2 linked regions of the Astyanax mexicanus genome follow. The protein of the gene in region 2 purifies or fractionates together with the protein of the main gene of each other region. This does not show direct contact. Links are inferred from orthologs where the notes say so. Each region holds a gene or a part of one and is shown on either strand. Other genes may lie near its edges.

Evidence for each region.
Region 1: the proteins of zinc transporter ZIP12 (region 2) and abhd12 purify together in Homo sapiens (co-immunoprecipitation; 3 studies listed by BioGRID and IntAct, counting the BioPlex papers as one, with this or other methods). This does not show direct contact. The link is inferred for Astyanax mexicanus from reciprocal best matches to the Homo sapiens genes SLC39A12 and ABHD12.

Annotation. Positions count from the first base shown.
Region 1 is NC_064421.1:30,144,726-30,161,352, reverse strand, and holds the start of abhd12 (lysophosphatidylserine lipase ABHD12), read right to left. Parts: upstream 7,133-16,627; 5' UTR 6,960-7,132; intron 4,993-6,959; 5' UTR 4,991-4,992; coding exon 4,860-4,990; intron 1-4,859.
Region 2 is NC_064415.1:34,118,245-34,135,478, forward strand, and holds the start of zinc transporter ZIP12, read right to left. Parts: upstream 6,783-17,234; 5' UTR 6,555-6,782; intron 4,641-6,554; exon of another isoform or gene 4,348-4,640; 5' UTR 4,286-4,347; coding exon 4,094-4,285; intron 1-4,093. Other genes in the region: mrc1a (macrophage mannose receptor 1), read right to left, coding at 14,385-14,620, 16,525-16,557, 16,739-16,900, 17,022-17,138. UniProt on the Homo sapiens protein: Uniporter that promotes Zn(2+) import from the extracellular space to the cytoplasm across the cell membrane. The transport activity is temperature dependent. May play a role in neurulation and neurite extension.

The sequences.
Region 1 (16,627 bases), on a different chromosome or scaffold from region 2:
CCTCCAACAAGCTCTCACAACCCAAACAGAACAACAGATTACCAATAATGTTGTGGAGGAATTTTAAATGGAAATACTTCAGTAGATAAAAATAAGTAGAGTAATGAATTATTAACATTTCCTGTGTTATAATTTAATTGAAGATTTCCTAAATAATCAAATGATTATTGAGAAATAAAACAGCACAGTAGTTTACTAACGCTTAGAACAGTACAGAGAGCATTTATACAAGGTGAAAAAAAAAGTTTTTGTGATTTTTATCAGTGAAAATTTGTTACAAATATTGTGAGAAATTGAAGTTTGTGAGCACAGTTCATCGTTACACCCCCCTAATACATACTGTAATTAACTTTATTTAATATTACAGTATATAATATTGGTCTTTGGATATATACAAATTTGGAAAAATTAAGGGACCACTTCAGTTTCTGAATCAGTTTCTCTGATTTTGTAAAATGAACATTGTTGTTTTATTCTATAAACTATGGACAACATTTCTCCCAAATTCCAAATAAAAAATGTTGTAATTTAAAGCATTTATTTGCAGAAAATTAGAAATTGCTGAAGATGTAGAGGTTTTAGACCTCAGACAATGCAAAGAAAACAAGTGCTTATTCTTAAAGATTTAAGAGTTCAGAAATCAATATTTGGTGGAATAACCCTGGTTTTTAATCACAGTTTTCATGCATCTTGGCATGTTCTCCTCCACCAGTCTTACACACTGCTTTTGGATAACTTTATCACTCCTGGGGCAAAAATTCAAGCAGTTCAGCTTGGTTTGATGGCTTGTGATAATCCTTTTTCCTCTTGATTATATTCCAGAGGTTTTCAATTTGGTTAAATAAAAAAACTCAATGTTAAGTGGTCTCATTTTTTTCCCAGTGCTGTACGTTTTTTAGATGATTTCATCCTAATGAAGACAGATTAAATTGAATTAAAGTGATTAATTATGGTTAAATTTTAGTAACCATTGTTGAGCTGGGCTCCACGAGTAACAAATATCAGCAGCTGGGCTCCTTTTCTGACTGAACACATCACTCACACTGTAGTGTACGTTACACTGGTGACTCTGGCAACCCTGGTCCTGCAGCATCACCTGAACGGGGCGAGTGCTAAGCTAATATTTGGTTGTGGTGGGGAAGCGCACAGTGATAAATTAACTATGGCTGTAATCTGAGCAGGAAGTGTGGGTCGGGCTGAGAGGAGCAGACGGGGTGCAGAGATTCTGCTGAGTCTGCAGCGTCTGCAAGCTGAGCTCCGGCAGCCGTGCTGCTACTACACTCACTCTCACACCAGAGAAAGTCTCTAGAGTCTCGCTCTCGCACGCCTGCTGTAGCTGAACGTTTCCCTATCCCTCGCTTTCTCTCTCTCCATCTACTGAAGACGTATGATCTCTTCTTCTGCTAACAGATCTGCATCTTTCTCTCTCTCCCTCTCTCTCTTCCTCCCTCTCTCTTTTTGTATATCTCTCCTCTTTGTGACACTCTATATCTCTCCGTGCAGTGGTGGCTCAGTGGTTAGAGCATTGGGTTATTGATGGCAGGGTTATGGGGATCAACAAGCTGCCGCTGTTCAGCCTTTGAGCAATACTTAACCTTAACCATCTCTGCTCTGCAGTAGGGGTGGGACAAAATATTGATATTGCGATTTATTGTACGATTTTCATTTGTGATACAATTATTAATACGTGGCAGCAAATATCAACAATTTATTGAAGCATGAGCACTCTAAACTCCGTAGGATTCTCCATCCAATCTGACTTACTAATGTTCCTGCTTCATTACACCGTGTGGTGGCGCTATAATCTAATGAATAGGGTTAATAAACATGCAGTGAAGAATATTGGAATATTGGTTGTTCAATTCTGTATAACTGAAACACCAATGAATCCATCATTACTGGTACTTGCTTATTTAGGAGTATTTTATTCTCTTCAGCAACACAGGTGCTGTAAAGTATGGTAGAGAACTGTATTGTAATATACGGAAAATCGCAAAATCTGTATTGAGTATCTTATTAAGACTTTATTATTTCTAATTAATAAAAAGTTATTACCTTAAACCTACATATTTAGCATTTTAATAAAATTAATCTTTCATTATCTGTAATTTATCATATCTGTCTTTCTTCAATCTCTGTCTATATTGATCTCTTTCTTTATATACATCCTCTCACTCCCTCATCTCTCGCTCTCTCTCTCCATCTTCTCTCTCCCTCCATCATCTCTCTCTCTCTCTGAAATAAAAAAAAGAAAGAACAGGCAGTACTAATATTACATCACCGCTCACCCACAGCTTCACTCCTACAGAACACACACACATACACACAAACAGGAACACACAGTAACCTGTATTAGAGTGAAGTGATGATAGCGGTAATAAGAAGGTGCTGCTGATCTGTGTAATTACTGTGAATGTTACTGTGATCTAAACTCTAAAGCCTGGTTTCGGTTCAGTCAGGTTCAAACACTCTTCCAATTCTGACTCATCATCTGTCAAAATAAAGTCCGGCACCAAGTCTAAAAACAGAGCAGATGCTTACCACATTTTTCACACTATAAGGTGCACTTAAAATCTTTAAATTTTCCCCAAAATCGACAGTGCGCCTTATAATCCGGTGCCCCTTATATAAGAATTCTACTAGTCAGGTATTAAGGAGCAGTAAAGTCAATCAGTTTTCAGTGATGTTTCCCCAGCATTAAGGTTGGGTGCAGCAGCATTAGCATTAGCTGCTAACCGCTTTTCCTTCACTACATAAATACATATTACGCTTTAAGCACCCCCTTGTGGACAGCTGCACACAAGCATATGTGTACATAAAAGATATACATAAGCAGCATTTGAAGTGAGAGAAGCATGTGGACTGTAGACAGAAGAGGTAGAGTAATATTACAATATTTCACACTAATATGATTATAGGTCACGCAGTATTTCACAATTCTGGAGAGAGATCTTGTGCAGCTTCACCAAAGTTCCGTAGTGCAGTAGCAGCAGCTCAGAGAGTGAATGATAGCTATTCTCCCCATTGCAGTACCATTTTGAGGTGAAGCCAATAATCATCACAGAAACTACAGAAGCCCGGAATTTACAAATTCTGCATTATCACTTCATTTCTGACTGGAATTTCATCAAACAGGATAAACAGGATCACAACACTGACCTTTGACCTCACAGATCTCATCATTCATTCTGAATGAGAGCAGCAAAAGCTTCAGCAAATCACTAAACCTGCCCGAAACTGGCTGATCCTGTCTGAACACAAGACCAGGTCTAAAAACTGCTGGCTCGGCCTCACTCAACCCCCTGCACAGACAGCACTGCTGCTCAGACGTCCCTACAGACTCAGCGTTCCTTCCCTCGCTTACAGCCTACACACATTCTCTGCAGAAAGAGGAAACTTATATAGAAACAAACAACAAATACACACAATTCAGCCCACAGCTGTGCCTCAAGTGCTGTTTTTCAACTGAACGGTCATATACACAAGCATAACTCAGCATTTCAAAAGTGTCTTACACAACTTCACTGCCAGCACCAGAGTAAAAGCACCATTAAAGGAGAAATCCGTTTTAAAATTGACTTTATGGGGTTTAATGAAAGAGTGAAACATGATACAAACTTTTGTGGAATAGCCCACCAGCTATTTTCCCTCAGCATCCCCAAATACAGCGCTTTTAGCCAATGCTTGCAACAGGCCACAATGCTAGCATATCGCCAATAATTTCATTTTCGCAAAATAAATAAATAAATAAAAATATTTGTGATATTATGTTATGGCTATATCACCCAACCCTACTAAGGACAATTGAAAAATAACATTATTAATAAAATCAGGTATTGTCACTATAAATTATACCATTGATGAAACCAGAAACTAGGAAAAAAATGAACAATTATACCAGATATTAATGCCAATATACGATAACACCATAAAACAAATTTAAATAAACCAGGTCCTAGAAAATAACATGATCAATTAAATCAGACACCTATAAAACACCACCACTAATAAATCCACTTACAAGTAAATAATATGATTAAAGACATTGGTAATTAATGGCACTATATTAGAACACCATTACCAGTAATAAAAAAGGCTACAGGTGTCACTGTAATAAGACAATTATTTGCAATGACGATTACTCTGTAATCTTGTACTTTTGCTACTACATACTGCATTTCTGTACCTGTACCCACCTTTACTCTGCACAATGACAGTAAAGTTTAATTGTAATCTAATCTAATCTAACATACTAGTGTGAGTAGCCGGTCACAATAATTACATTATAGACTTACTGTACAAAATATGGTGTAATATCATTTATTACAGGTATATTTTTCAATATCAATTATTCAGGCCTGTAATTGTATTTCAATCCTGATGATTAATGAATGTTGATAAGATTAAAAGTTTGCTGCCATTTAAAAAGGTGTAATCATATGTGCCTTATTATGTCATTGTGTTTTCAAATATTATTATATTTGTGACATTAATGGTCTTAAAATTACAATAATATTGTTTATTTATTCCATTACTCTGGGACAACATAACAATATATCAGCTGAAGCAAAATAGCTATTGTGACAGGACTGATGAGTGTGACTACAATGATAACACAATAGTCACAATACACAATACTAATGTATAAAACTGTTAATTAAAACATAAAACACATACTAGTGCCACTGTAATGACACGATTTAAAAACACTAGGCATTAGTGGCATTATACTGTATAATAACATATGTTATTACCTTGGTTATTTTCTTCAGGTACTATTGTTACTATAATAAAACCAGGTAATAGCAGCAGTGCTCTTAGCGACATTAGGGTAATTAGTAGCTGTGCTGTTTACTGACCTCCTGAGTTTCCTGCCCATGGTTTTGTCCCACTGCCCGTCTCCTCCGGAGCTCTGCTTGCCGTCCAGCAGCGCCCTGTCGGCGGCGTCGTGCTGCTGCTCTGCGCCGGGGGACGGGTTCCGTTTTCTCATCCCTGCAGCGGGACAGGAGCAGAGGATCAGCGGGGGAGCGAGGCGAGGTTCCGGGGGCGGTGAGCGCGGGGCGGCCGGAGGGTCGGTAGCTGATCAGGCGGGGGGTGGACGGTCGGACCGGGAGCTGTGATCTCTGAGATCTCTCCTCTACATTGTTTGCTGAAGTGAGAGATCCGCAGAGAGCAGCTGATCACAACAACCTTTACCCAGGTTCCCCCTCAGCCAATCAGCAAACCAGCGTTGAGGTGGGAACCAATGAGCGGAGAGATATCGCTACAGGTTCCCCCCGGTACCACGACAGCCAATCAGAGACGCCGTTTCTCTCACAGTTCGGGTCGAGTGGCCAATCAGAGCGAGACCGTTTGTGTTGCAAAGTTCACACATGCGTGCGATAGTTCCACTCCACCTTAAAAACCTCACGCAGTGCTTTTTAAGGTGGAACTAAACACCAGGAAACGAGTTAAAGAAGTTGTAACGCGCTTTGATGACAGACTGCAATTCACAGCCTGTTTATTTATCCTTTCGCAAACCGGTAATTCCAGTTTAGGGGGATTAGTTTCATGAGGAGGTTTCAGTGCAGTTTAGGATGAAGATGAAGAACACTTTTTTTTGTGTACTAAACAATATGCATCCGCGTGTGTTCATTTAACGTTATAGCTTTAATATAGTCTTTAGTATTACATTTACAATGTAAAAAATCATAAAAAGAAAAAAAACACACTGAATGAGAAATGAGAAGAGGTGTTATATTTTATACTCACACAGCTCTGAAAAATAAATTAAGAGACCACTTCAGTTTCTGAATCAGTTTCTTTGATTTTGCTATTTATAGGTATATATTTGAGTAAAATGAAAAGTGTTGTTTTATTCTATAAACTACGGACAACATGTCTCCCAAATTCCAAATAAAAATACTGTCATTTAGAGCATTTATTTGCAGAAAATGAGAAATGGTCATTTTAGCAAAAAGAATGCAGAGCTTTCAAACTCAAAATAATGCAAAAAACAAGTTCATATTCATAAAGTTTTAGGAGTTCAGAAATTAATATTTGGTAGAATAACCCTGTTTTTTAACCACAGTTTTCATGCATCTTGGCATGTTCTTCTCCACCTTACACACCCCCAGTCTTACTTTTGGATAACATAATGCCACTCCTGGTTTGGTTTGATGGCTTGTGATCATCCATCTTCCTCTTGATTATATTTAAGAGCTTTTCAATTTGGTAAAATCAAATAAACTTATGATTTTTAAGTGGTCTATTATTATTTTTCCAGAGCTGTATTGACATCACTGCAATAAAACACAACAGAATGTGATCATCAGTACTTACCGAAGTATCAAGGTAGAAACAATAAACTTAATTATGATTAAATGAGGGAATTATTTAGTAAATTGAGGGAATGATTTTTTCAATTGAAGGACTGATTTATTAAATTACGAGAATGATTTATTAAATTACGGGAAGAATAAATGAAACCAGGGTAACATATTTTGTCTAATATTCAATTTTGCTACCTTGATAGCTACTTTAGAAGATTAGTAGTGGCTTATCTGGTCTATTTAGTGTGTGTAGGTGGATAAGAGTTAGATTAAAATTTAAAGTAACCAGCAGTGTTAATCTGCTACTGTCAAATAACTCAAATACAACCAGTTTATAATTCAAATTACTGAGTAAATATGACCTTTCCATCATATCCTAAAGGCAATGTGACTCTAAACAGTACAGTAAGTTAGTTAGCATTAAGTAGTTGCATTAGCTAGTTAGCATAGCTTTCATCTGAGCCCCGTTAAACATGCAGATATTAAAACTTTCATTTAATAAAATATTTTTTACTAACATGCGAACAGTATAAAACAGTAAATCGAATGTGCTGGATGAAGAGATTTATTATTTAGCTAATTTAGTAGTAAACTTTAGGGGGACTTTTATTTGAGGTTAGCTTTAGCTGTGGGTCTGCGGGCTCTTACCCCGCTGTGAGTCTGCGGGAGCTGTGGGAGAGTCTCGGCGGTGTTCAGGAGGTCTCTCTGCGGGAAACAGAGCTGCAGACCCCGGGTTTAATCTGACAGTTTCTCCGGGTTTCCTCCATAACTCCGCTCCACACTCAGCCCTGAAGCTTCTCTCCTTCACAGCCGCGTTTTTCAGTTTCCTTTCACGTGACCAAAACAACGCTGCGTCACAGAGCCACGTGGTTCTGATTAAACGATATGAAAAGATTGAATATAATAATAAATATCTGTACATTTGTACATGTCACATATTTCTTTCAAAACCGAATTTCATAATTTTTTTTAAATATTATAAAAATTACATTCTGGTCATAGAATATTCAAGTAATAAGAAGGCATTAAATTATATACTAGCATTTAAATATAATTTAGGCCATGTAAAAAAAAAAAATTAAATAGTTTTGGTATAATATAAATTCCTATTCATTGTTTATAATGTATAGGCCATTTTTTCTCCTAATAGTAAACAAACAGTTTTCCATAGCTGTTATTCTAGCTCATATCCATGCAGTTTCAATATCAGAGCATTTTCTACTTTTATTCCTTTTATAAGATCGTGAGATGTTTCTGATTTTATGGAAATTTTATAAACACAAAAAGTTACATTGCGCTTATAGAATACTTAAGTAATAAGAAGGCATTCAAACAATCCATATGATTCATTAACTTAACATAAAACAATATGACAGAAATATTTGTACTCTTTATAGACAGATAGATGTATATAGATAGATAGATCTTTTAAAATTTCTGCATAAACTGACCTAAAACTTTTTATACAAAAATATTTTATACAGGTCCTAAAAGTAAATTAAGAATTAGGATTTGTGAGTGACAAAAGAATGTAAACCTTTTCGAATTGTTCCAGCAAATTCTGAAAGAAAAGAAAAGCATGTTTGTGAGCTGAATCTCAATAAAACGTGGGCCATGCAGCAAGACAACGACCAAAGAACAAATGCTGTCCTACCAAAGAATGGTCAAAACTCACCAACATAACCGAACTGTGAAACTTTCTTTTCATTTTCCACATTGTAGATTAATACTAAATACAAAAAAACAATTATGGGACACATATGGAATCATGTAGTAAACAGTAGAAGTGATTGACCTCCATCTGACCAATCCCCTGATCTAAACTTGATCAAATGAAATGGCGATGTGGGATGAGATGGAGCTTCACAGCATTTAGAAAAAGCAGCAACTATTTTTCTGCACCTCAGGAACTCTTTCTAGGCTCTGATAAAACTTTTTCCAGATGACTCTTCCTCATGAAGACACTAAGATTAAAATAACAAGAGTGTACAGATCTGTCCTTAAGGATAAATGTGCTACTAAGAAGATTCTCAAATATAAAACATATTCTGGTTTAACACATTTCTTTTTCCACATATGTGTTCCTGTAGAGCTTTTATATAGTCTTTAATATAAAATGTACAATGTTAAAAACCATAAACAGAAAGAAAACACAAAAGAAGAGGTGTGTCCAGAATTGAAACAGGTACTGTATATATTCTATATTTAACTAACTATTGTTAAAGTTTTTTTATTGCTTTTCCCCACTTCTTTAAACCTAAATCATCTTAAACCCTGGACTAGTAGATGGATAGGATTTTCTGTGTCAAAGGAAAGAAAACAAGAGGGCCATTTGTTTATTTCTGACCTCAGCATTTTAAAATGGGTGAAAAGTAAAACTCTGACAAACTTGAAACCCACACAGAGAGAGCTAGGCCAGGGCTGCTCTTTGGGACTTCTGGCCTCAAATTGTCATATCTTAGGAGGAAATTAGACTATCACAGCACATTTTACAGCTTAAACTGTCAAACGTCTACTGTTAAACACAACTTTTAACAGGTTAACAGGTGGATTAAGAAGGTAGGAGAGGAAACAATTCAAATCTATGCTTTACAGAAACTGTAACTCTCTGTAGGATTGAGTGAGAGACTCTCTCCTTACTCTCCTGGAGCAACCAGGACTGGGTTTATACCTCTTTAGGTGTATGCCTTTTAATGAATGCTCCAGGGATTAATAAACCCTCAATGAAAACCCCAAACAGACAAACAAAAGTGAAAATGAAGAGTACTTGTTTTATTGTTCTGAAAGGCAGGGTATATTTGCAGGCTAATAAGAAACTCCAACATTTACACTAATATTTACATCAAACCTGCTCAAACACACTTCAAATCCACCCACCTGTTTATTGCCAGGTTTGGTAGGTCTGGGATATCAGTAGACTATGCTGGACTCTGGCCCCTGTGACCCACCCCTGATATATACTATCACCTTAGCGTTAGATGGATTGTGGCATATTAATGGTTAAGGTTTTACAAACCAGCTTTTGCTGTATTTCTGTCAATTTATCATCAAGGATGCACTAAAAAGCAAACACACACACATAGATAAATTAGATGATTCACATTTGAACAATTCTACACTTAAAAAAACCCTAAATCTTAGAAAGTAATATTATCTAATTTATATATATATATATATATATATATATATATATATATATATATATATATATATATATATATATATATATTTTTTTTACTAAGCATTGTGTAAGTGTAAGATTGTTTTGCTTATTTTAGGAATAATAAACTTAACTAAGTCTTACTTAGAAATTTCACATTGTTTTAAGTGATTTAAAACTCAACATAAGCACAACGAAAATTTGGTAGTTTTATTTAGCTTAATATAAGCATATACATCTCAACGTATATATATATTTTATGGTGTATTAACGTTGTTTCTGTTTGTGTTGCGTTGCTGTGCCACTGTCTGACACTAGAGGGAAGCATATCTCCACCCAGCCAGCACATATAAAGCATGGTCATTTTGTACACATTTTATACACTAAACAACATCTCTTGGTAAAGTGTATGTCCAAAAGTTTGTGGACACTCATTATTACTCTTCTTAGTAAAATACACTGCTTTTACGGGCACTTACACACAGCAGTACATATAAACTAACTAGCCCAAAATATATGTATAAAAAAAAAAATATATATATATATATATATATATATGTATATTTGTGAAGCAAACGGAAGCAAACGGCAAAACAATAATGCATGTACGACTTAGTATATATTTTTTAAGGGATTTATTATTTATAATAGTATTGATTAATATTTACCTTAAAGTAGTTAATAATATTGAAACATCAGTGTTTTATAAGTTCTTTTAGAACAGTTTTATATTCTAGTTACGAACATTTAATAACATAATTAGCAAACAAACAAAAAAGAAACTGACTTTTACTTACTTATTTTTGTCTTCTCCTCTTTAACTTTTTTTTTCATCACCTTGTGATTTCTGGTTTCTTGTTTTTTTATGTCGTTATATATGGTAGGTAAATCCTGTCAAAAATAAAACACTAAAATGAAAATGCAAATACCGTTTTGCTATTTCTTTTTCCAAATGTGTGAAAATATTATGATAAATTAAAAACAATATTAAATCAATTAAATCATTACGGTGTTCAGCCCTTTGAGCTTCTATTGACCCACACCTGGTCCTGTTAGTATAAATACCCCTCTGTTTCAGTTCCTCCTTGCCAGGTATTGAATCTAGCTTGATAGCTCCTCCACCACTACTTTTGTTTTGTTTTCCTTTGTGTGTTTTTTTTTGTTTGTTTGTTTTTTACCACTCTCTTGCTTGTTTTTGTATTTTGACTAATATTTTCTCCTAGTCTTTTTTACCTGTTGGATTCCTTGTGTATGACCCTTTTGCCTCCTCACTCTGGTATGTTGTTTACTATTGCTGCCATTTTGATACTGACCCTGCCTGTCTCTATCTACCCCTGCAAAGTCTAATCCCTTTGTTAATAAATTGTTTGATTGGTATCTGCGAGTGTCTGTCCTGCCTATACATATTTCATAAAACCACTAAAAAGATTATTTCAGTATTTACCACTGAAGTTTTCTGATTGGCAAATTGGCAATTCCCATATAAGTGGTTTCTGATTATTAAAAAAATCATAATAAGTGTCTACTCCTAACACTTTCTCACACTGTAAAAATGTTATAAGCAGTGCGCACATGCTAGCTCCTCCACACTTCTACATTACTGCCATGTTTTCGTCCAGTGTTTTGTCTCTTTGGTCTGTCCTTGTGTTTATTTACCCTCTGCACGTGCCCTGTGTGTATCCTGTGTCTTGTGTTTTGTGTGCTTACCTGTTCATTTGTAGGTCCGCCCACTTGTTACCCGGTCACAGGTGTTTCCCGTTTTCTGTCCTTGTCTGTGTATAAACTGAGTTTTAATGCTCTACTTACCAAAACGATGCCGGGTTTAAAACAGGCTCATAATGGCAGCTTATGGTGCGGACATAACCTGCATGGGCTCAGGTAGGGATGGACCTGATCTAAGCTCTAATGAGAGCTAACCCATCGGCTGGGTTGTTGCTATGTGTGCTACACGACTCCATCATTCCAAACCCAGCATTTATTTATGTCAAAACAACACAGCAGTTTAGCATTAGGCTAAATCTATGCAACAGTCACATGATGTAGATTGTAGCTGAATTTGGATCATGATAAAATGTAAATATGTTTACATTTGCATGTGGTTGAACTTCCTTGTCAAGAAGTGGGTTTATTTAGCTGACAGGGTCTCAAAATCAGCTCGGCTAATTGATATATAGCCCACAGAGAACTATGGCACAATGAAACATTCAGGTTCTGAGCAAAGATGAATATTATCATAATCATCATCATCATATTGTGACAGTTATTGTAGATTTTTTTTCCACAGACCAAATAAACATGTATATATAATCAACCGTGTAATTACGCAGCGGAGCCGGTGAATGGCGACGTGTAGATGGCCAGCACGGACGAGAGGGCCCGGACTCCATAAAGAGTAATTATGGTATTTAGGTGGTGCTTTATTGAATCGCCTCGTCTCAGAGTCATTAGGTGTAATGGGGTGGTCGCACCCACCCCCAACCCGCCCTCAGCCAACCAACAAACCAACCAACCAACCAATCTCCCTGTTTTAAACTCTGCTGTTCTCTGAGTTTCTCCTCTGATATGGCACTTAATCAAAGCCCTCGAGGGGGCTACACATGTCACACGCATAAGAGAAAGACAGAGAGGGACTTTGCTTATCATCCATGTTCAATACCAAATCCATCTCCTCCTCTGTGGCGCTGACAGCTGGCATTGTGGCGCGCTGAGATGTTTCCCTCCAGCGCCGATCTTCCCTTTTGTCCCGGAAACATTCGTCGCTAATTTACATATTAAGATTATGCTTCACGTCTCGGCACAAAGTGCAAGCCCTGCCTAATGTGTCACGCATGTGAGTGTCATCTCAAAAGGCCTGTGTGTTGTACGCGAGCGTGTGTTTTGAGCTCCCTCATTAAGCTGTCCCGAGCGCTTCGCCGCTCCGTGAAGTGCTGATTGCCCGCTCTTTGTTTTCCACATTCATTTATTCGTATACACACCCTGTAATCAACGCCGCAAATAAGACATTAGCGAAATAAAAGGCGAGCGCTGGCATTTGCACGCCGATGCTAACAAAAGTGCATTTACGTCGGCGGTGACTTTTTTTTTTCCTCTTCTTTTTAACTCGTCCCCCCCGAACCATCAGCGCTCACAATAGCCGACTGGAACCGTATTATAGCATTAAGAGCCGATTTAAACAGGGAAAAGTGCGGCGAGGGGGGGAGGGGGACGGCTCGCGGATCTTCGGATCCGATCAGTCATCTCTCTCCCTCCCGCTCTCCATCTCGCTCTTCATTCAGAGTGATGCTAATGATGAAATAGCTCCCTAATTCCAGTAATTACAGCGGTCAGTTTGTGGGAATGTGCGGCTGACAGCGTCTCATTGCCGAGTTCTTTGGCTCCGGGAGACATCAGTGAAAACAAAACCCCACAGAACGGAGAAGAGGGAAAAAAAAGGAGCAGCTCGCTATGCTAAGAGATTAGCATGTGTACGCTATCGCAACAAGCTGCTTAAAGAAGTAGCGGAGTTTGAGCTTGAGCTTCTCTCGAGGCCTGTGAAGCGTACAGGCGCACATAGACTCATGGAGTAGAAGTGCTGCTGAGATGTGGAGTTGAGTTGAGTTGTGTGATTTAAAATGTGAATTTAAGTCTAATCTAACACGCGCAGAGGACAGCGCAGCAACTTGGGTATGATACATTGGCTAATAGACACCTCTTGTTGACTGATATTACTTGGTGAGCAATGACGGGAAAGAGCACCATCTACCAACCCAGACAGAGAGCATGGCCAGTTGCGCTCTCTCTTGGAGTCCGGCTACTAGGGGTGTAAATCACAAGATTCATTACGATATGATACGATACGATTATTTTAGTCAACGATATGATATTGTACGCTACCTCAAATTATGTCACGATACGATACGATACTATACGATACGATATGATACGATATACTACGATACGATTCGACTTGCTAAGGGCTCCTGGTTTGTGTAACTCTTAACTCAAACATGTACTCGGCAAACAGCAGCGGAGAGTAACGGACAATAGGCGGAGAATAACACAGAGCGGAACAATGCAATGTTTAAACCTCTTACTGCAGATCCAATTTTATGCTCATTTTCATGCGATTTGCACTACTAAGATTTAAAAATGAATATCTTAAGTTTTACATATAGCACAATGACCATTCAGGGCTTAAACTGAAATAGACAGTTGGGGCAAAACAATAATTCACTTCAAGACTTTAATTTCCATTATTAAGGTTCCATTTGAGAACATCAAATGCAGAAGAAAATGTAAAAAAAAAAAAAAGCACCTGTTATATTTGGAGTTTACAATGTGTGTATGGATGTTGGTGAGGAATAGTCAATCATTCTCTACATTTCCTGATTCAGTAGTTGTAATTTATATCACAAAGCAAAGTTACACTGCATTATATTAGGTGTCCACCAGGCGTCTCCAAAGTGTTCAAAATCTCTCCAGGAGAAGCCTTCTGGAAAAAGGCTGTGACCTGATTAGATTGGACACCCACGTGATCCAGCGCTCACGCCATTGGTTCAAAAGACGATCACTCAAGAAAAGTAGTTGTTTGTGGACCAATAAAAACCACAGAATCTAGAAGACACCCTTAGCTTTGGATTCACGTACAACTTTAAGTAAAAACATTGCATGTGTGGTCGCTAGGAGCTTGAGAATATTACGTTGCGGCTGCGCTGAAACTAGGGTTGCAGCGGTAACCGGTTTCACGGTATACCATGGTATTAAAATGCACGGTTATCATACCGTGTGTGTTTGCTTATTACCGGTAAAACGCAAGCCAGCGGAGAAACTCACCCGCGCATGCGCAACTCTGCTCCGCTTCAGCTGCTCAGCACACAGCGGTGAGAACAGCAGAAAGTGCATCAGACTAAACAAATCTCCGTCCGCCTACAAAAAGGCTAAACTAAAATCAGCAGTGTGGGAATATTTCAGAGACCCGCCGAACGCACCGGAGGATGGTTATCCGATTTATAATCAATGTGGCCGTAAAGTCACAGCTAAAGGTGGACATACGTCAAACCTGTTCTCCCATCTCCAAGAACACCACCCCGCCGTGCAGCGCAAAGTATGTGTTTAGTTTATAATTTTAATCTGAACATAAATAAAATCTCTTTGTAGTCGTGCACAACCCATGCGGTAAGCGCCCGCAAAAGCGCTGAGTTATCCGAAATTTGGGCACGCAGGTACAGGCGTGAAGTGCGTGCTACGACGGATTCACGTGTCCGTGTAAAGGTGCTCGCCGGACTGGATGTGAAAGACGCCATTCATTTACATGCGTTAATTTTCAAATTCTGACGTGCCTGTTTTTCATGTGTTAAAACCAGACTCAGAAATAAATCCCCTCTATCTGGTTATATACCAACTTGGCAGTAAAACGGACGTTTACAACAGTTGTTGATCAGACACTGACCCAGGCTCAGTTTATCAGATATTAAATAATTTAAACTTAAATAATTGTACTGAATAGTTTAAACACAGGATCTTTACTTCTTAGAGGACATGTAATTTGTGACACGTGTGTTTGTGTGTGTGTGTATATATATATGACCTTAAGAGTAGTGGAAAAACCTGGTTTCCTTCACCTGATGGTGTACAGTTTATTTTTTTTAAGGAGACATTATCTATATAATTGTTCCAGGTTTCTACAATAAATAGTTAATTGAACAAAAACCTTTGTTGTAATTTCTTTAAGGGTCAGTTTAATAATATATGTAACAAACTGTGATACCGTGATAACCGTGATACCGTGGTATTTTCTGAGACGGTTATCATACCGTGAAAATCTCATACCGTTGCAACCCTAGCTGAAACTAAAGCAAGCAAGGAGAAGTGAGCAGGCGAATAAAGGACTTTTTGGATATTTAATCTGCGGTTCAGTGCTTTATTGTGGATGCTGTGATAGTAAGTGATTTTTTGCTTCTGCAGTAACCGGTTAAACGCACGTGAAAAACACATGCCTCGATGTTTTTACGTCAAATCGATGCATCGTATCATTCATAGTTGTATCGATGTATCAATACAGATCGATGTATTGTTACAGCACTACCGGCTACTGATGGCAAACAATCAATTTTCTGATTATAGTAGCAGCACCTTAGTCTGCTGGACCAATCAGAGCTCAATTGTAGTTCATGAATCTTGTTTTAATTTTCTATATTTCTGCATAAATATAAATCATCAGTCCTAAAAGTAGATAAAGAGAATTCAATTAAACAAATGAGTAATAATAATTAATATTTATATAATATTGCAGCAATAACTGCTGCTAAACATTGATCAGTCCTGCACACCGGCTTGGGGGAAATTTAGCCCATTCCTCCGTACAAAACAGCTTTAGCTCTGGGATGGTGTTGGGTTTCCTCACATTAACTTCTTGTTTCAGGTCCTTCCACAACAGTTCTAGTGGATTAGGGTCAGGACTTTGACTTGGCCCTATTCCAAAACATTAAGGTTTAGCTGTATTCTTCTTTAAACGGTCTGTGGTGGAATGACTTGCTGCCTGACCCACCTTCTCTTGAGATTCAGTTCAAAAGAGATAAATTAGAATTCATTGTTGTATAATCCTGGCCCAGATGCAGCAAAACAGGCCCAAAAAAATGATATGCCAACAAAGTTCTTACGTTGGAATGCAGTGTTTTCCTTTTTCCAAATATAATGATGTTCATTTAATCCAAAATGTTCTTTTTTGGTCTCATTCGTCCATAAAACTTTCTTCCAATAGCCTTTAGGCTTGTGTACGTGATCTTTAGCAAGTATTGTAGAGCTCCCCCTATCCTTTCTGTTGTGTATTACAGTCTGTCAGAATGAGTATAAGGATCAGATCAACATGTGTATAGTGTATTATAGAGCTCCCCCTATTCTTCCTGTTGTGTATTACAGTCTGTCAGAATAAGTATGTGAGTCAGATTAAATCTGTATAGTGTATTAAAGAGCTCCCCTATCCTTCCTGTAGTGTATTACAGTCTGTCAGAATGAGTATGTGGATCAGATCAACATGTGTTTAGAGTATTAGAGCTCCCCCTATCCTTCCTGTTGTGTATTTCAGTCTGTTAGAATGAGCATGTTGATCAGATCAATATGTGTATAGTGAGTTGTAGAGCTCCCCCTATCTTTCCTGTAGTGTATTACAGTTTGTCAG
Region 2 (17,234 bases):
AGCTGCTACTTTTCTTCTGAACAGGTAAGATAACTGGCTAGCTAATAAAGTCAGGTACTTTATCACCACAACTAGATGTGCTTACTAAGGGCTAGAGCTGTCTCTCACGCGGATCAGAGCCCCTCTGACCGCGACGCTCCCTCACTTGGGGCACAGCCAACCGCGGCTCTCCCTCCCGGCGACTGTGGCGCTCCCTCGTTTGAAATACAGTCAGTATAACTCTAAATACGGGTGATAGAAGAGTTTAGAATTGCTGTATTTCTCCTCTCCCTCATACTCCCTAAGTTTTCTGTCTCTCCTACTAGTCTAAACATTGTAAAGATTGTGTAGCTTCAGCCTGCTGAATTTGGCAACCCTAGATAGTTTCACAGCTGGGGAGGGGTGGGCGGGTCAGACTACTCTTTGTGGTGTTTTGAAATTGGACTGCTGTAGCCATTTCACACACTCGCTCTCAGTTCCTACAGAATGTACCTTTAAGCTTTTATTTTAATAATAACATCTCTTAACCTGATATTAGTTGCTGAAAATGTGTGTAATAATGAGTATTTTCGAATCATTGGGCTTATTTGTGGGACCGCATCTTTGTTTGCGCCGCCAATTGGAGACATGACGTTTTTGCACTGTGTCTATGGGATCTAGCGCCTTTCAGTGGTGTATAATTACATTGCATTTGGTTTGTATTTGGTTTGTAAGCTCTGCATCATTACTAGGTTACCTGTGTGTGGCCAAAGTTACAGTGCATTACTGGCTAATAATGTCACTCATAAAACTCTTCTCAACCAATCACATTGCAGTGTCGAAACTAACTGAGGTATAATTTAAAATGTTATATTCCAATGTACAAATATTCTTAATTATTGAAAATGCTTTAAAAGAGTGTAATTGCATAATTAAGGTATTACATTGTTATTAAATAGTGGCACACAATGTCCAATAATGTTTTTAATGTTTTAAGGGGAGGAATATTAACTACACCATAAAAAAATACACATTAAGAATAGAATGGGCCCTAATGTAGAACCTTCTGGAACACCACAGGTCTGCAAAGGTGGAAAAGAAGTGGCCTCTTGGCCTCTGTTATTTAAGCATGGCACTAATCAGCTCTTTGCACATAGTGGTCAGGCTTTGTACATCTAATCACACACGCACACAAACACTTGACTGAAAGTTGAACATAGCTGTACACAGAGCTTCTTGTGTGTTCTGTGAGTTCCACTTATAATACTACAAGTAAAAATCCTTCAGCCCTAAAGGTGCCATTCACTCTGTGACCCTGCAGTGAGGAATTCAGAAGCCTGCTTTTGTTTATATCACAAAGCCACCCAGATCCTTCTTATTTAGTGTTTTAAAGTATGCTGATTATGTTGATTGATGTTAAAAATGGGTCTGTTAATTAGTAGATAAACACATAATTAACAAACATAGTCTAAACAAAGCATATAGGCAAGTGAAACTTGTGTGAAATACTGTGTATAAATAATAGAATTAATAATCACAACACATTTTTAATTAAATATTTTTTAATTGTTTGTGTTACTGTGCCTTTTTGAAGTAGGTGAGCACAGCTAAACTGCTATAGGTTAAATATATACAGCTCTGGATAAAAAATAAGAGACCATTTCAGTTTCTGAATCAGTTTCTCTGATTTTGCTATTTATAGGTTTATGTTTGAGTAAAATGAACATTGTTGTTTTATTCTATAAACTACGGTCAATATTTCTCCCGAATTACATAAACAAATTCTTTCATTTAGAGCATTTATTAGAAATGGCTAAAATAACAAAAAATATGCAGCGCTTTCAGACCTCAAATAATGCAAAGAAAGTTTTAAGAGGACAGAAATTTTTTTTTTATTTGGTGGAATAAATCTGTTTTTTTTAATCACAGTTTTTGTGCATCTTGGCATGTTCTCCTCCAGCAGTCTTACACACTGCTTTTGGATAACATTATGCCACTCCTGCTGCAAAAATTTAAGCAGTTCACCTTGGTTTGATGGATTGTGGCCATCTATCTTCCTCTTTAAAAAAAAATAAAACATTTGTTTGTTGTGTTAGCGCATATCGCTAATAAACAGCAGCAGTGTGAAGTGCCACTACTGAACTAAACACTGATCTTTAGAGCAGATACGCCCACTCTAACCTGGACTGACCAGGGGTATGAGAATAGGCCTGACACTGTTTCAACCAAGATTTTTAGAAAACTCAAACTGTTCTTTTTATTTACTTATTCTCAAGCACTCTACCTGCACTTTTTCCAAAAGCACACTATATTTTTGTGTCCCTTGTTTTTGAGCTACTTGAACTTGTTTATTCATGTAATTTTAATTGCCTTTCAGTTGTTGATGATGTAAAATGCTAAGCTATTATAATATACAGAATATGGCACTGAATAATAAAAGTGCTTGTATAAAATCATGGCATGTAGCTTCGTGTCAAAAGTGTCTTTTTGGTTATTACCTCATGGAATGAAAAAATGTTGAGATATACATCTCTGGCAAAAAATAATAGACCACTTAAAAATGATGAGTTACTTTGATTTTACCAAATTATAAAGCCCTGGAATATAATCAAGAGAAAGATGGATGATCACAAGCCATCAAACCAAACTGAACTGCTTGATTTTTTTGCACCACACTGTAAACCCATACACTGTTTGAACTCAAATAAATTCTGTTTTACATAAAATTGGATATTTCTAAACAATACTCAACTATTTTAAGTTAGTGGAATTTTTTTGGGCACATAAACATTCAAACTGAGATCTTTGAGTTGAACCAACTTATAATAACTGAGTTTAGTCTGTTGTCATTGGCATCTTCTTTTCTATTGGCTTCTGTCACAATCTATTTGCATACTGGGTGTGTCCAACAGTTTCTGACACTCACCATCAGTGTGTAGTGATTCCCCCTGGGCTACCTTAGAAATAAATCAAGTTCCCCTTTAGTTGTAATAACTTGATGGTTTAATTTATGCTAACTCAAGTTTTCACTCCCCATTACTTAAAAGAAACTGAGCAAACCGGCTGCCTTAAAAAAGTGAAGTAAACTCAACTTATCTGGTCTAACAATATAACAAAAATAAAAAAAAGTTAAATTAACTTCCCCTTTAGTTGTAATAACTTCATGTTCTAAGTTATGCTAACTTAAGTTTTCATTACCCATTAATTAACTTTTTTAAGGCAACCGGTTTCCTCAAATGTTTTAAGTTAATTCAACTTATCCGGGCTTACGGTGCAGGAGTGGCATAAAGTTATCCAAAAGCAGTGTGTAAGACTGGTGGAGGTAAATATATCAGAATGCATGAAAATTGTGATTACAATATTGATTTCTTAACTTATAAAACTATATGAACTTGTTTTCTTTGTATTATTTGATGTCTGAAAGCACTGCATCTTTTTTGTTATTTTGGTCATTTCACATTTGCTGTAAATGACAATATTTTTATTTAGAATTTGGGAGAAATGTTGTCTGTAGTTTATAGAATAAAAAACAACATTCATTTTACTCAAACATATATCTACAAATAGCAAAATCAATGAAACTGATTTAGAAAGTGAAGTGATCTCTTAATTTTTTCCAGAGCTGTATATCGGTATCATAAAAAATATATTAAGGTACTATTTTTATTTATCCAAATCGTACAGCCCTTAAAAAAATCTGTATAATGTCTGGCTGTAGTATGACTATACTTGTAACGTGTGTCTTATATCCTGAGCATGTAAATAAACATACTGCTGTGCCTTTACAACATAGTTTAGTACCTTTAAGTTCACATGCATTTTGGGACATTGGGCTTCATGTTATGTTCTCTTTATATCTAAAAGGATATCAGTAGATGTCGTCATTACTGTATATTGAAACTGTGAGCATTTTCAAGCTATACACACCCTCGTGTTTCAGTTGTTGACCATGTGCTCACAGATAGCACTGCCCATAGCACCTGCTCCTTACACTGGGCATGGAGTGATCTGAACTATGCTGAATTATCAAAAAGTCAAACCATGTGTGTGCTGTGTTTAGAGTCTTAATGGTGAGAGATTAACTTTAATAGTGAAGTTTCTAAATGGACCAGTTCCCTGTTTTACTAACACTCACCTTATCACAGAGTTCCTTGGTTCCACCGATGCGTTCTGGACACTGGAGCACATGGAAGATCTCGCTGACCAGTAGACCAACATCTGCCCGTCTCAAGGCCTCCTGACCTCCTGTAACTGAGGGCAACCAGCTACCCAGAGCACTGAGAAGCCCCAGCAGCCCCAGAGTCCACGGCCTGCACAGCCCACGCATTGCAGCATACACACATGCAGGCACTCACACACTCTCACACACACACTGATGCAAACACTGATCTGCACAGAAATTAGAGAGAAAGTGTGCAGGCTGTAAGAGTCACAGACAGAGAGTGGACTGAAGGGGACTTAGAAAGAGTGAGAAACAGGGAGAAGATATAGCACGTGAAGAGCAGAGAAAGAAAGAAAGAGAGAGAGAGAGAGAGAGAGAGAGAGGAATTGAATGAATTGTAATTAAGGGGTTTTCTAATGGCCTCAGGAACAGCAGGAGGACGACAGAGAGAGGCCCCTCCAGCACTAATGAGCTTCACACACACACACACATAGACAAAAGTTTTAGACTGACTCCCACTCTGCCTCAGAACAAAACACATACAAACACAAGAAAAGCAAGAAAGTGTAATTAAATTAAATAATATGAGTGTAGTAAAATTAAATATCTTTTTATATTAAATTTGTCTTACATACAAGAACTAAAATAATTTGTGGAAACCGGTTGCTTTTTATTCAATCAAATAATTTGAGCTTAAATAACACAATGAACTTGCACTTGTTAAGAAATCAACTCAACCGTACCTACTCCTACAGCCTTAAACACTAAGAACAGACAGTTACCCTTACAAATAATGTACTCTTTAAAGCAGGGGTTGGCAATAGACATAAAACATCTGGCCCGTGAGGTTGTTTGAACTATAATGAATAAAAAAATATATATAAAATGCTTCTCTTGTGAGCTTTTGTTTACATTTTTCCCCTACCTCTCTTGCACACTCGTGGCTCCCTATCCCATTATAAAGGAGTTTTTTCCCCAGCCGTGTACCAATTCACTAGCCAGGGCAGCAGTATTGTATTGGACTGTGCCCCGCCCCTGATGACACGGGTTCGATCCCACGTGAGGAGCGGCATGTTTATTTATTAATTTTTCATTTCTTCTTGGGTTTACCTGCTTTAAATTAAACTGTTCTGCAATTTGGTTCAATAACCCTCTGGGCTAGAGAGCTACTAGGCTGTAGCACTCTATCCCATAACACTTCATTTCCCATATCCCATTTTTTTTGTGGCCCACAATGTAATGGCTTGGAAAATATAACTTAAGTGCCGACCCCTGCTTTAAAGGAACAAACAGTAATAAACGAGTAAAATGTAAAATGACTACAGGGCTCCAATTTCTGTATAGATCCAGATTTAAAGCTCATGCAGGTTGCCAGATTAACTCTTAATCTGTAGATAGTATAGATATGTACAGGTTTCAACATCTAAAGTGCCTGTCTCTATTATGCTAGTGGTGGTGGTAAATTTCCCATCTATGGTCAGTGACCTTACTGAAACTTAGTGATTACCTGTTCAGCAGAAAAATAACCAGCTTGCCCTTTACCATGGCTGCAGCACACTGTTTGTGTACTGTTGTGTTCTATTCCTGGCAACACTGGGTGTGAAAATGGGACTGAGGGGATGGCATTGTGCAGATTCGGAGGCTAAATCCCACACAGATTTCTGTGACGTACTACACAGTTCTATTAAGAAAATACTGTCTGAAGCTCTTATGACAAGAGCTGCCTGTGCTTAAGCTCAGCAGGTTTCCTTTATATCTGATGATACATCCTGATTTTGTTATGAGTTACTACAGAACATAGAAACCTAGTGTTTCTTTAAGAGAACACTTTTGCAGGTAATTTTTTGCACTTCAAATGTTGTTTTAGCATGACTCATCATAGTAGAGTAGGAGAGTAGTAGAGTTTTGGCTGCATTCACATAAACTCACAGTGTTTGTTTGCATTCTTGTTAAAGGAAAAGACTAATTGTTATAACCACACTATAAGTAATTATTTTCATGCTAGTCACCACATAGTCTACAGTATATTAGCCAGTAGCTACAGCATAGCGACCGTAGCAGCTCAAATTAGCACTACAAACAGAGAAATAAGCCTGAAGGCCTCAAAGGGTTAACCCCCCTTCCTCCTATGTGCCTCAGTCACCGCTCAGTAGTGGCCGACCACAACAGTCCCAACAGAACAAACTCTGACCACTGGAGTGAACCAACTGCCCACCTCCAAAACAAAAACAAATCTTTTCAATAGCCAAAAAGTTTACAGAGCTGAAATAAAAGAAACTTTAAAGTCTTATTATCTAATAATTAACTAATTATCTTCTCAACTCCACAACCAAAAGTTGCAAGTGTTCAAAATCAGCAAAGAGCTTCCAGAACTTTCAGAACAACAAACATGAACTTTTGAGTAAAAAGTGTGTCCACTTCTAAAGTTACGTACCTTCCTTTTCTTCCTCTGGAGTCCTCAGTAATGTTTTCCTTCTTTCAGGTTAAGGAGGAAGAGAAACAGGGAAAAAATAAGAAATTCCAGAACAGGAGTGAAAAACCCTCTTATGAGCAAATATGCTTGTGCCACTTTCAGAGGATTAGTACTCACTGCTTCAGCCTCATAGGTCAGTGGTTACTATGGCAATATCAGCCTCATTTTAGCAATGACTATGCAGGGATCAAGGGGGCGGTAGGAGGCACAGACAGGGTGTAAGTTTGTGTGTGTGTGTGTGTGTGTGTGTTGTGAGGTACTGTCAGTAGGTGAACCCTTCACCTCTTGTGGTCAAAACAGTTTGTGAAATGTTTGTGAAATGCAATTAACACTGTACAATCAAATAAAAACTTATACAATTAGGCCAATAAATATTTGGACTGTAAAGTGTTTAAGAACGGCTCAAAAGTTGTTGGACAAATATCATCAGAAGCTATGTAATGGGCTACATTATATATTCCCTTATTAATTCATTATCAGTTAAGCAGGTGATTAGCTAAGATTCAGACGGACTAGTTAGTTGCCTTTAGACTAGTTTTATTATTGCAACATTGTAGAGCGATTTTAAGACGGGAGTCCACCGGGTCTATGCTAATCCCATAACTGATAAAGAGTAACTGTTTATTATACTTTGGGTTGATTGACAAATATCTTTCAGTTAATTATAATTTGGGTTGATTGACAAATATCTTTCAATTATGATTACTTATCTTAGTATCTGTATTTACATAATCATTGTGTGAAACCTTGTATTCAATATGCATAACCAATACTCACATTGTATCTGATCATTTTTATTACTCACAGTGGATTTTACACACATTTATATAAAAGATTAATCAATAATCACATTATATCCTTTACACACATAGTAAAACACTGTTTGATCAAGCATGTGATTAACACTACCCTTATTATGAGAAATTAACCCACATGATGCATCAGATGTATATTAACACATAGGATCTATTATATGGCGGACTAACCACGCGCTGCTAACACAGTAACGTATGGCATATAGAGCCCATTGTTGGGCACATACAGCTTATGCCTGAAGCATTTAATTTACTGCATGTTTCTGACTGACAATCAATCATCAGCCAAGAGCACTTTGTACGAACTGAATTGATACAAAAGAGACTCGGGTACGAACAATGCGACCTTTCACTCTGTGTGTGCGCTGTTTTTTTATCTCCCAAGAGGGGTGATAGCGCGCACAAAGGGAGGGCTGCACTGTCTAATTACTGAAACAATATCACACTGTCTAGTTCTTAAAACAATACCACTTTTGTCCTGCTGGACACATCAAGATTCAAGATTCAAGATTCAAGATTTTTATTGTCACGTCACAGAGTACAGGTGTACATGTGAGTGAAAAACTTGGGTGCAGATTCCCACCAATGCGCAAAGAATAATATTTACAAGAGAGTAATAAAATATATAAAAATAGGACATACAGATAACTTACAGTATAAACACTATTTACAATACACTTAATTACAATAGACATGATAACTTACACTATAGACAAATATTGCACAGAACAGATATGCACAGATGTAGATATGCGGATAGTGTGGAAGTAGTCAGTATGTGACAGTATAGCTATGAGTAAGTGCAGGTAAGGAATGAGTTGAGTGGGGAGTGCAGGGGGCAGAATGCTGTATAATATGGGAAAGTCTGATAGATGCAGTGTAAAGTAAAGTGCAGGGTGCAGAGTTTGTATGGGTGTCAGTGGGGTGGGTTGGGCAGAACACCGTTCTACTGGCTATTCCACAGCCTGGTTGCTTGGGGGAAGAAGCTGTCTCGGAACCGGCTGGTTCTGGTCTTCAAGCTTCTGAGCCTCCTTCCACTCGGCAGCTGTGAGAACAGGGAATGGCTTGGATGGAACGGGTCCTTCATGATCTTTTTGGATTTCCTCAGGCAGCGGTTGGTGTAAAAATCCAAAAGGTTTGGGAGCTCAACCCCAGTGATGTACTGCGCTGTGCGCACAACCCTCTGCAGGGATTTCCGCTCCAGAGCAGTACAGTTCCCATACCAGGTGGTGATGCTGCCCGTCAGAATGCTTTCCACAGTGCAGGTGTAGAAAGTCCTGAGGATGATGGGGTTCAGACCAAACCTCCTCAGCCGTCTGAGGAAGTACAGGCGTTGTTGTGCCTTCTTCACCACCCGTGTGGTGTGTTCTGTCCATGTCAGATCCTCGCTGATGTGAACACCCAGAAACTTGAAGCTGCTGACCCTCTCCACCGCAGTCCCGTTGATGGAGATCGACGAGTATGCTTTCTCCTGCTTCCTGAAGTCCACGATCAGCTCCTTGGTCTTGCTGACGTTTAGAGAGAGGTTATTCTCCTGGCACCAGTTTTCCAGGATGTTAACCTCCTCTCTGTAGGCCGATTCGTCGTTGTTTGAGATCAGGCCAACAATTGTTGTGTCGTCAGCAAATTTGATGATGACATTGGAGCTGTGTCTGGCTGTGCAGTCGTGGGTGTACAGGGAGTACAGGAGCGGGCTGAGCACACAGCCCTGGGGCGCTCCGATGTTGAGGGTCAGTGAGGAGGATGTGATGTTGCCCATCCTCACCACCTGCTGTCGGTCTGACAGGAAGTTCAGGATCCAGCTGCACAGTGTGCTGTTCAGACCCAGATCCCGGAGCTTGACGTCGAGCCTCGAGGGAACGATGGTGTTGAATGCTGAACTGTAGTCCACAAACAGCATTCTCACATACGTGTCCTTCTTGTCCAGGTGAGAGAGGGCAGTGTGCAGGGTCAGGGCGATCGCATCGTCAGTGGATCTGTTCTGCCTGTATGCAAACTGCAGTGGGTCCAGGGTGGCAGGCAGTGAGGAACAGATGATATCCCTAACCAGCCTCTCAAAGCATTTGCTTATGATGGAGGTTAGGGCAACAGGTCGCCAGTCATTCAGACAGGTGGTGTGGGCAGTCTTTGGAACTGGCACAATGGTGGCCAGTTTAAAGCAAGCTGGCACAACAGAGAGAGAGAGTGATGTATTATAAATGTCCGTGTAGACTGCTGCCAGTTCTCTATAGCAGGCTTTAAGCACTCTCCCGGGAATGCCATCCGGACCAGCTGACTTGCGTGGATTTATCCGCTGAAAAGCTCTGCGCACGTCAGCTTCAGAGACGGAGGGTGGGATGGGATCAGCGGTGGGCGGGGCGCACTCTGGGAGCGCAGCGGTGGGCGGGGCACACTCTGGGAGCGCAGCGGTGGGCGGGGCGCACTCTGGGAGCGCAGCGGTGGGCGGGGCGCACTCTGGGAGCGCAGCGTGATCTGCCTCGAATCGAGTGTAGAAGCAGTTCAGCTCCTCTGGCAGCTCAGCGTTGGTGCTGGTCAGAGTGTGAGAGCTTCTCTTGTAGTCAGTGATAATGTTCAGACCCTGCCACAAGCTCTGGGTGTTGGCTGTGTTGAACTGTGCTTCCACTTTCTCTCTGTACCCACGTTTGGCCGCTTTTATGGTCCTACAGAGAGCGTAGCTGGCTCGTTTGTACTCCTCCGTATTTCCAGATCTGAAAGCGGCGCTGCGTGCGCTGAGAGCGGAGCGGACGTCACCGTTCAGCCAGGGCTTCTGATTGGGGAAGACGCGCACTGATCTGAGGGGCATTACGTCATCCACGCACTTGCGAATGAAGGCGGTGACTGTGTCTGCGTACTCGTCGATGCTGCTTGACGAATCACGGAACATCTCCCAGTCCACGTGATCAAAACAGTCCTGAAGCATAGCTTCCGATTGGTCAGACCAGCGGCGTATCTCCTTGGTGGTGGGCGGTTCTCGTTTCAGCCTCTGCCTGTAGGTGGGCAGAAGCAGGATGGAGGAGTGATCTGATTTGCCGAACGGGGGTCGGGGGAGGGCTTTGTAGGCTCCTCGGATGTTAGAGTAGCAGTGATCAAGCGTCTGGGTTTTCCGCGTGAAGCATGTAATGTGCTGAAACAGTGCTGGACAAAAAGTTTTAAAGTTTGTCCGGTTAAAGTCCCCAGCAACAATGAGTGCAGCCTCCGGGCGCGCGGTCATCTGCTTGTTGATGGTCTCGTGTAGCTTCCCGAGTGCGAATTCCGAGTCCGCGCGCGGGTGTATGTACACTGCCGCTAAACACAGTCCTGTAATCTCACGAGGTAGCCACACCGGCCGGCAGGAGATGATCAGATATTCCAGCTCCGGCGAGCAGAAAGACTCGATGAAATGTACATTCCTCCGATCACACCAAGCATTGTTGATCAGGAAACATACACCACCTCCCTTACTTTTCCCAGAGAGCTCTTTGGATCTGTCGGCGCGGTGCAGAGAGAACCCCGCGGGTTCTATGGCGTGGTCGGGTATGTCCACGGATAGCCAGGTCTCTGTGAGGCAGATCACGCTGCAGTCACGTATCTCCCGCTGGAAAGCGATCCGTGCGTGGAGCTCGCACAGCTTGTTGTCCAAGGACTGCACATTAGCCAGCAACAAGGTGGGAAGAGGCGGACGGTGAGCGCGGCGTCTCAGCCTGACGAGCACACCGGCTCGCTTGCCTCTTTTCCGGCGTCTGCGTCGCGTGCGTGGCCGGGCGACCCAGGTGAATGGAGCCTCTCCGATGTTAGGCAACAAAGGATCAGCGTTGTGGAACTCAAAGTCCGGTTTGCGGTGAGTGATCGACGATCTGATTCCCAGGAGTGTTTGTCGGTCGTATGTGACGATGCCAGTAACATTCAGTGCAAAAAGAGTAACAAGCAAACACAAAAACAAAGAAAAACTGCTAAAATAAGTGGGAGCTCGCAACACGGCAGCCATGCTCGGCGCCATCTTGATGACGATTCAAGGCCAAACACTAGTGGTTCGGTCAGACCTGTGAACTCTAACACGTGAGAATGTGCCTACTAACATGAAATGATTCTAACATTCTAACAACGCCTCATCAGCAGGTCGCACGTCATTTTGGGGTATAAACGTGGAGTCAGATCAGAAGGAGGTTCAGAACTCTTACTGAGTCGGCTGTAACACTGTCTTATATGTATTGGTTCTCCTGAATATTCAGTACTTTGTAATAAATACTTGGTTTGCTTTCAGCTTCACTCCACCTGTCTGACTCTCTCTATCAAACGAACACGCAGGGGAGTTGTACCCCGGACGAGAGGTGGGAGTAGCCCACCTTTCATTTTCTTTTCTACAACACTGAACAGGTGCTGTTCATATTTGGCTTTGTGGATACTGGAAAGTTACGGCTAGTCATTGCTGACAGATCTGGAGACAATGAGACGCATTAATGCCACTCAGTGTTTGTGTTCTAATGTGTGTGTAATACATATTACACACACATAACTTAGCTTAGCTAACTAAGTTAAGTAATGCTAAGCTAAGTAAACAAAACTGCAATAAAAAGACTTTCTTTTAAAGTCAAACGAGCACTGGATGTTAATCTACATCTGTTTATTTGGGTGAGTAAAGCACTTCCGTTTACTTACATTAAGTGTAGATTCATGAATTTCTCCAGCACTAAGGCTGGAACATTAGGATTAGCGACTAACTAGCCGCTAGCAGGGCTAGCAGGGCCACTGGCCGATAATACTCACCTCTAAACAGTGAAATAGTGAGCGCGGTTAGTGACTATGCTTATGCTGCTCAAGCAGTGCTAACCGGTGTTTGGAGCGGACTACAGGCCAATAATACCCGGGAATGGGGAAATAGCGGTTGGCGGCTAATACTAATGCTACTCCAGCCCCAGTGCTGCATTATGCTGTACTTCAGCAGAGTGTCTTTACTGCTGCTTACAACCTGACTGGTAAAATTCATACATAAGGCGCACTGGATTAAAATAAGCACTGATTATTTTTGGGAAAATAAAGAACTTTAAGTGCGCCTTATAGTGCGAAAAATATGGTATAAAGTTGCTAGCTATGCTAAATAACAGGGTATTTAATCTTATTTACAGCATAGCTAACCAGCTTTCACACAAACACACAAAAACACAGGTGTGCTCTGTGGAGCTAGCTCACTAGCTAGCTACCTTATGTCCACTGCATTCCATGTCCGCTGGGTCTGTGTTTGAAGGAGCTACATTTAATACATCCTCCCAAATGTTTATATGTCTTTTCTTACCATTCTGTGGAGTAAAAACATTGGAACCTGTTCCTCTGGGATAGGATGTTCTGGTGTTGGTTTATCCTATATAAAATGGAAATAGAGGATGTATGGGCAATTGTTTGAATGTGTTAAACTTAGACCTGTCCACTATAGACACAGCTCCTTTTCTGTGGGACTTTCAATGGAGCTTTTCAAACCAAAAAAAATATATTTTTTGTGTTGTGTTCAAAACACTGTGGTTCAAGCAAAATTCTGCTCTTATTTTAGTAAGCACGACATCCTGTAAACGTGGGTGTAACCTATATCAATGGTTCGCTGCTGCACCGAAAGATTTAACACAAAGTAAACAAACATGGCCCCCTTCTTCACACCATGAAAAATAAGGGATAGCGAGCAACAAATATATATATAATGAAAAATAAAAAGTGTCAATTTCTATGTCTATTCTTATTGATGTTATTGTATTTCTTTGTTTGCTATTTCGATCACTATAGAGATAGTCTGAATAAAATAGCAGCATTATAATAAATACATTTACTGTCCCTCTCATGTACAGTACATTATAAAAAAAATTGAGGCATTGTGGTCAGCTCCAAGATCAACTGTTTGTTGGCACGTATCAAACATCCAGAAGGCCTGGTGTCATGGTGTGGGGTTCAGTTTTCTTTGTGTGTTTCAGTATATTCAGGTGGTCAGCTGACCTCATTCTTTCAGCATGTACTGTTGCTGAACCCAGACCTGACCAACTACAGCAACCCCAGATCACGTGCTTAGTAAAATCAAGATGGAGACTTTTTTTTGGGCCATGGAGTGTATTTTACATGCTCATGTTTTTAAAGAAGATTTCCCAAATCATGCCCTACAAGTGTAAGATAGCTGAAGTCCTATTTTTTTTTTAATTATGGGGGGTCCTCTGTGATTTTATTTCCATCCGGAACGACCATCTACGTGTTTTTCTCAGATGTCCTCTGAAAAAAGTACAGGTTGAATTATCTACTGTTTTTCGCTGAACTCCGTGCTCCTCTGGTAATTTTAGACCCGTCTGGATGCACATCTCTGAGTTTCGTGACCTTGCATTTAATAAAATAGCTATTTGTCTACTGCCACCCACCGTAATTACACTTTGGGCGCACATTTTAACGGAGAACCACGAAACACAACAGCGAGTGGAAATGGAGGAGCTACTGAACATGATGTTGTGATTGAGAAAGCCAAAAAACAAACTGGTCCTCCTGTTTTTTCAATAGCAGTCCGGATGCAAGAGTTTTATCACAGAGTAGAAGTAGAAGTGTAAATTATTTTTCACAGACGTCTCCCTGAGAAACTAATACTGTCCAGATAGGGATTAATTTTTTGCTCAACTCTCAAAGAACTAAAAAAAAAAAAAACATTTGCTTAATCATTTCCACTTCATTCTATTTGTATTTTTGTAGACATTTATTTACAATAAATCATATGAAACAGACAATAACAGAAACAACAAACAGCTTTTTGATGCTACATGATATGAATACACTGCTATACAATTTCTGAGCATTTGCTTTATATGGATTTCCCTTTCTTCAGAATAAACAGATCTCCAGTAACAGACCAATTGTTTCTAATCAAAGCAGCTAATATGAAATACAGTGTGTGTGTCTGTCTTGTTTACCCTGCAACACAGTGTAGTCCTGTGTGTTTTAATTCAGTTTAATGCTGTGTGTGTTTGTGGGTAGAGGGGTGTTATGCACGCTCATTTTGTTCGATGTTGGCAACCAGTCCCTTGGTGTCAACAGTGTTGCTCGCTCGTGCCGGGTTGTTAAAGTAAAGAGTGTTGTCAAATGTACACTCTCCAACCACGGGCAGCGTTGGCCTTTTAAAGAACAGGAAGGCAGCCAATCCGGCCACAGCAATTATCACCAAGACTACTGCCACAGCAATGCCGGCGTAGCCATGAGGGGCTTCTCCCACAATGGGCGCTGCAAAAGCAATATATAATATGTATTAATGTTAAGATACTATACTGCTGTATAGTTCCTGAACAAAAATATCTATATAATATCCCTCCCTTATACAATGTAAAAAATGATTCTTGAGCCCTGTAAACTTTCTCATTAAAAAAAGATTCAACCTTATTATTCAGTAATGTCAATTTAAGATTTTTAGTAAAAATTAACAGAAATTATATGTTTTTTACGTTAAAACATAGTGCCACATTTTTGCAAGCTTATTATAAAGTAATGTCACTTTAAGATGTTAAGTATAAATTACCAAAAAAATAATTGTTTGTTACATTTAAAAACAAGCTTGCAAAATTATTGCACTATATATTTAAGTAAAACTAGAACATAATTTGTTTACAGTGTATTATTATTATTATTATTATTGATGTTACTGTATTTCTTTGTGTGCTATTCCCATTGCACTATAGAGATTTTCCAAATAAAACAGTATTGTAATAAATAAATACAACTTTCCCTCTCATATACAGTACACTCATCATCAAAAAAGTAGAATCAAGAAGGAATCAACCGATGGGTTTCGTGCCAGACTATCGTGGAGTGAATAGAAGCAGTTTAAGTTTGTTGTCACACAACACCAGTGATACATTAATAAGGTTCTATAACCACTGGCCCTATCATTTCAGAACCTAAACTCCAGGGCACTAGGGCAAAGCTTGTCCACATGCTGCTGCCATCTCAAAAGCTTGCCTTGAAAACAAGGATACTATGCCATGGTCAGCAACAAAATTTGTGATAATAAATTATTACAGGAGACCCAAAAGCTTGGCTTGCTGGGGTCACTTGACCATTTTAAATGTTTTGTTTCTAACCACCTTCAGAAAGCAAATTTATAATTTCTCTTAGTGCTGGGCCAATTTCACGATTCATTCGGTTAATTTGAATTAAAACGCTACTCATTTCTGAAGTGTTTATCTGTCTTACCTTGGTTACCGGTGCCTCCTGCAGACTAACACGCACATATATTCTAAACATTCATTTTTAAAAGTTCCAGCACTTTGGACACAAACACCCAGTGGGATAAAGCATATATTTAGCTAAAAAATAAATCCTACTGTTTTAAAAAACTGCAGTGTCATCTCTCCGGTGACGTGAGGATCTGTGATTAATTGTGGAAAACAATAAAAATCTTTCCTTCTTATGTGACTTGCTTTGTGCATTATTTCTAAATTTTTAGTCACAAAATTGCGTTCTGATGTTTATAGGCAAACCTAGTTTTAAACCATTTCTTAGTCATCTGTAGTTAGATTTTTAGTAGGGGAAAAAATTTGAAATCGAAAATTTCAATTATAATCCAAACTCTGATTTGTTTTGAGGCCAGCACTAGTTTCTCTTGTAAATTTTATTTTACTTTATTGTATTTATTAATTTATTTATTGTTCTTACATTTATTTTATTGTCATTCTTTTAATCTGAGTTTATTATTTTCATTATTATTATTTAATTTTAATATATTTTTTTATTTTTTATGTTTAATGTTCGTTTTTTAAGGTAATTCTATTTAGATATTCTTATTCTATATATATATATATATATATATATATATATATATATATATATATATATATATATATATATATATAAACATTTTAATATAGATGAAATCTTATTTAATTTTATCCTTTTGATTTAAATCCCTTGTACTGTAAATGCTCGGCTGCATTGGATGAGGGTCACCCTAAATGTATTCCCGGTTGAAAAAATGAATAAATAAAGGTTAATTGTTTGATTTAATAATTTATTGTTTCTGTTAAGCTCTTCGATCCGACACTTCCTTTTGGGTGCAACTATTTTTGCCACCATTTTTTTGACGATGAGTGCATTGTTGCCTAATTAAACATTGGCTTAATGTTTATACTTACCAACACCTGGTTGCTTCTCAGTTGGTGGTATAACTAAAAAGAAAAAAAGAGAAACAAATATACACTTAGTCTGAGCAAATTAGGCTAAAAAGCTCCTTTCACCGACTTAGAAATCTAGCTAAGCCTAATAAAATCTTCTATATGTAAAGTTCTATATTCTTTACAAGCCTAGATTTAAACAGATTATTAGCAGCAGCTGAATTGAGAAACTGACCTTTTTCAGTTTTGCATATGTAGGCTCTGTAGCCGCTACAGCGTGTTGTGTACCATAAGCCACTGTCTGATCTGACCTCTACACAGTCACCGTAAGCAGTGGGCATTCGAGGTGCCCAGTTAGTGTAGTCCACCACCATGTTATCAATCCACATCCACTCGCCTGAGAAATAGACAAACAAATAGACATGCACAATGTTTTATATATTTAGAGAACATTGAAGACATATCTTGGCTCCTGTACAATGAGAAGCAGTGTGATTAAGTTTAATTCGATTTCAGACCTTCGTGGTTACGGTGCATGCCAATCCAGAATGATTTGGAATCATCCTGAAGGATCTCAAGATTCCTCTGGATAAATGCGGCTTCCAGTCCATCTTCCACACTCACCATTGATGCACCTGTAAATATAATTGTATCAAATTTGATTTCGAAAATCAGAAAAAAACAAGTACAAATACTGACACCAACCCTGACAATGGATTCATAGTTGTGCC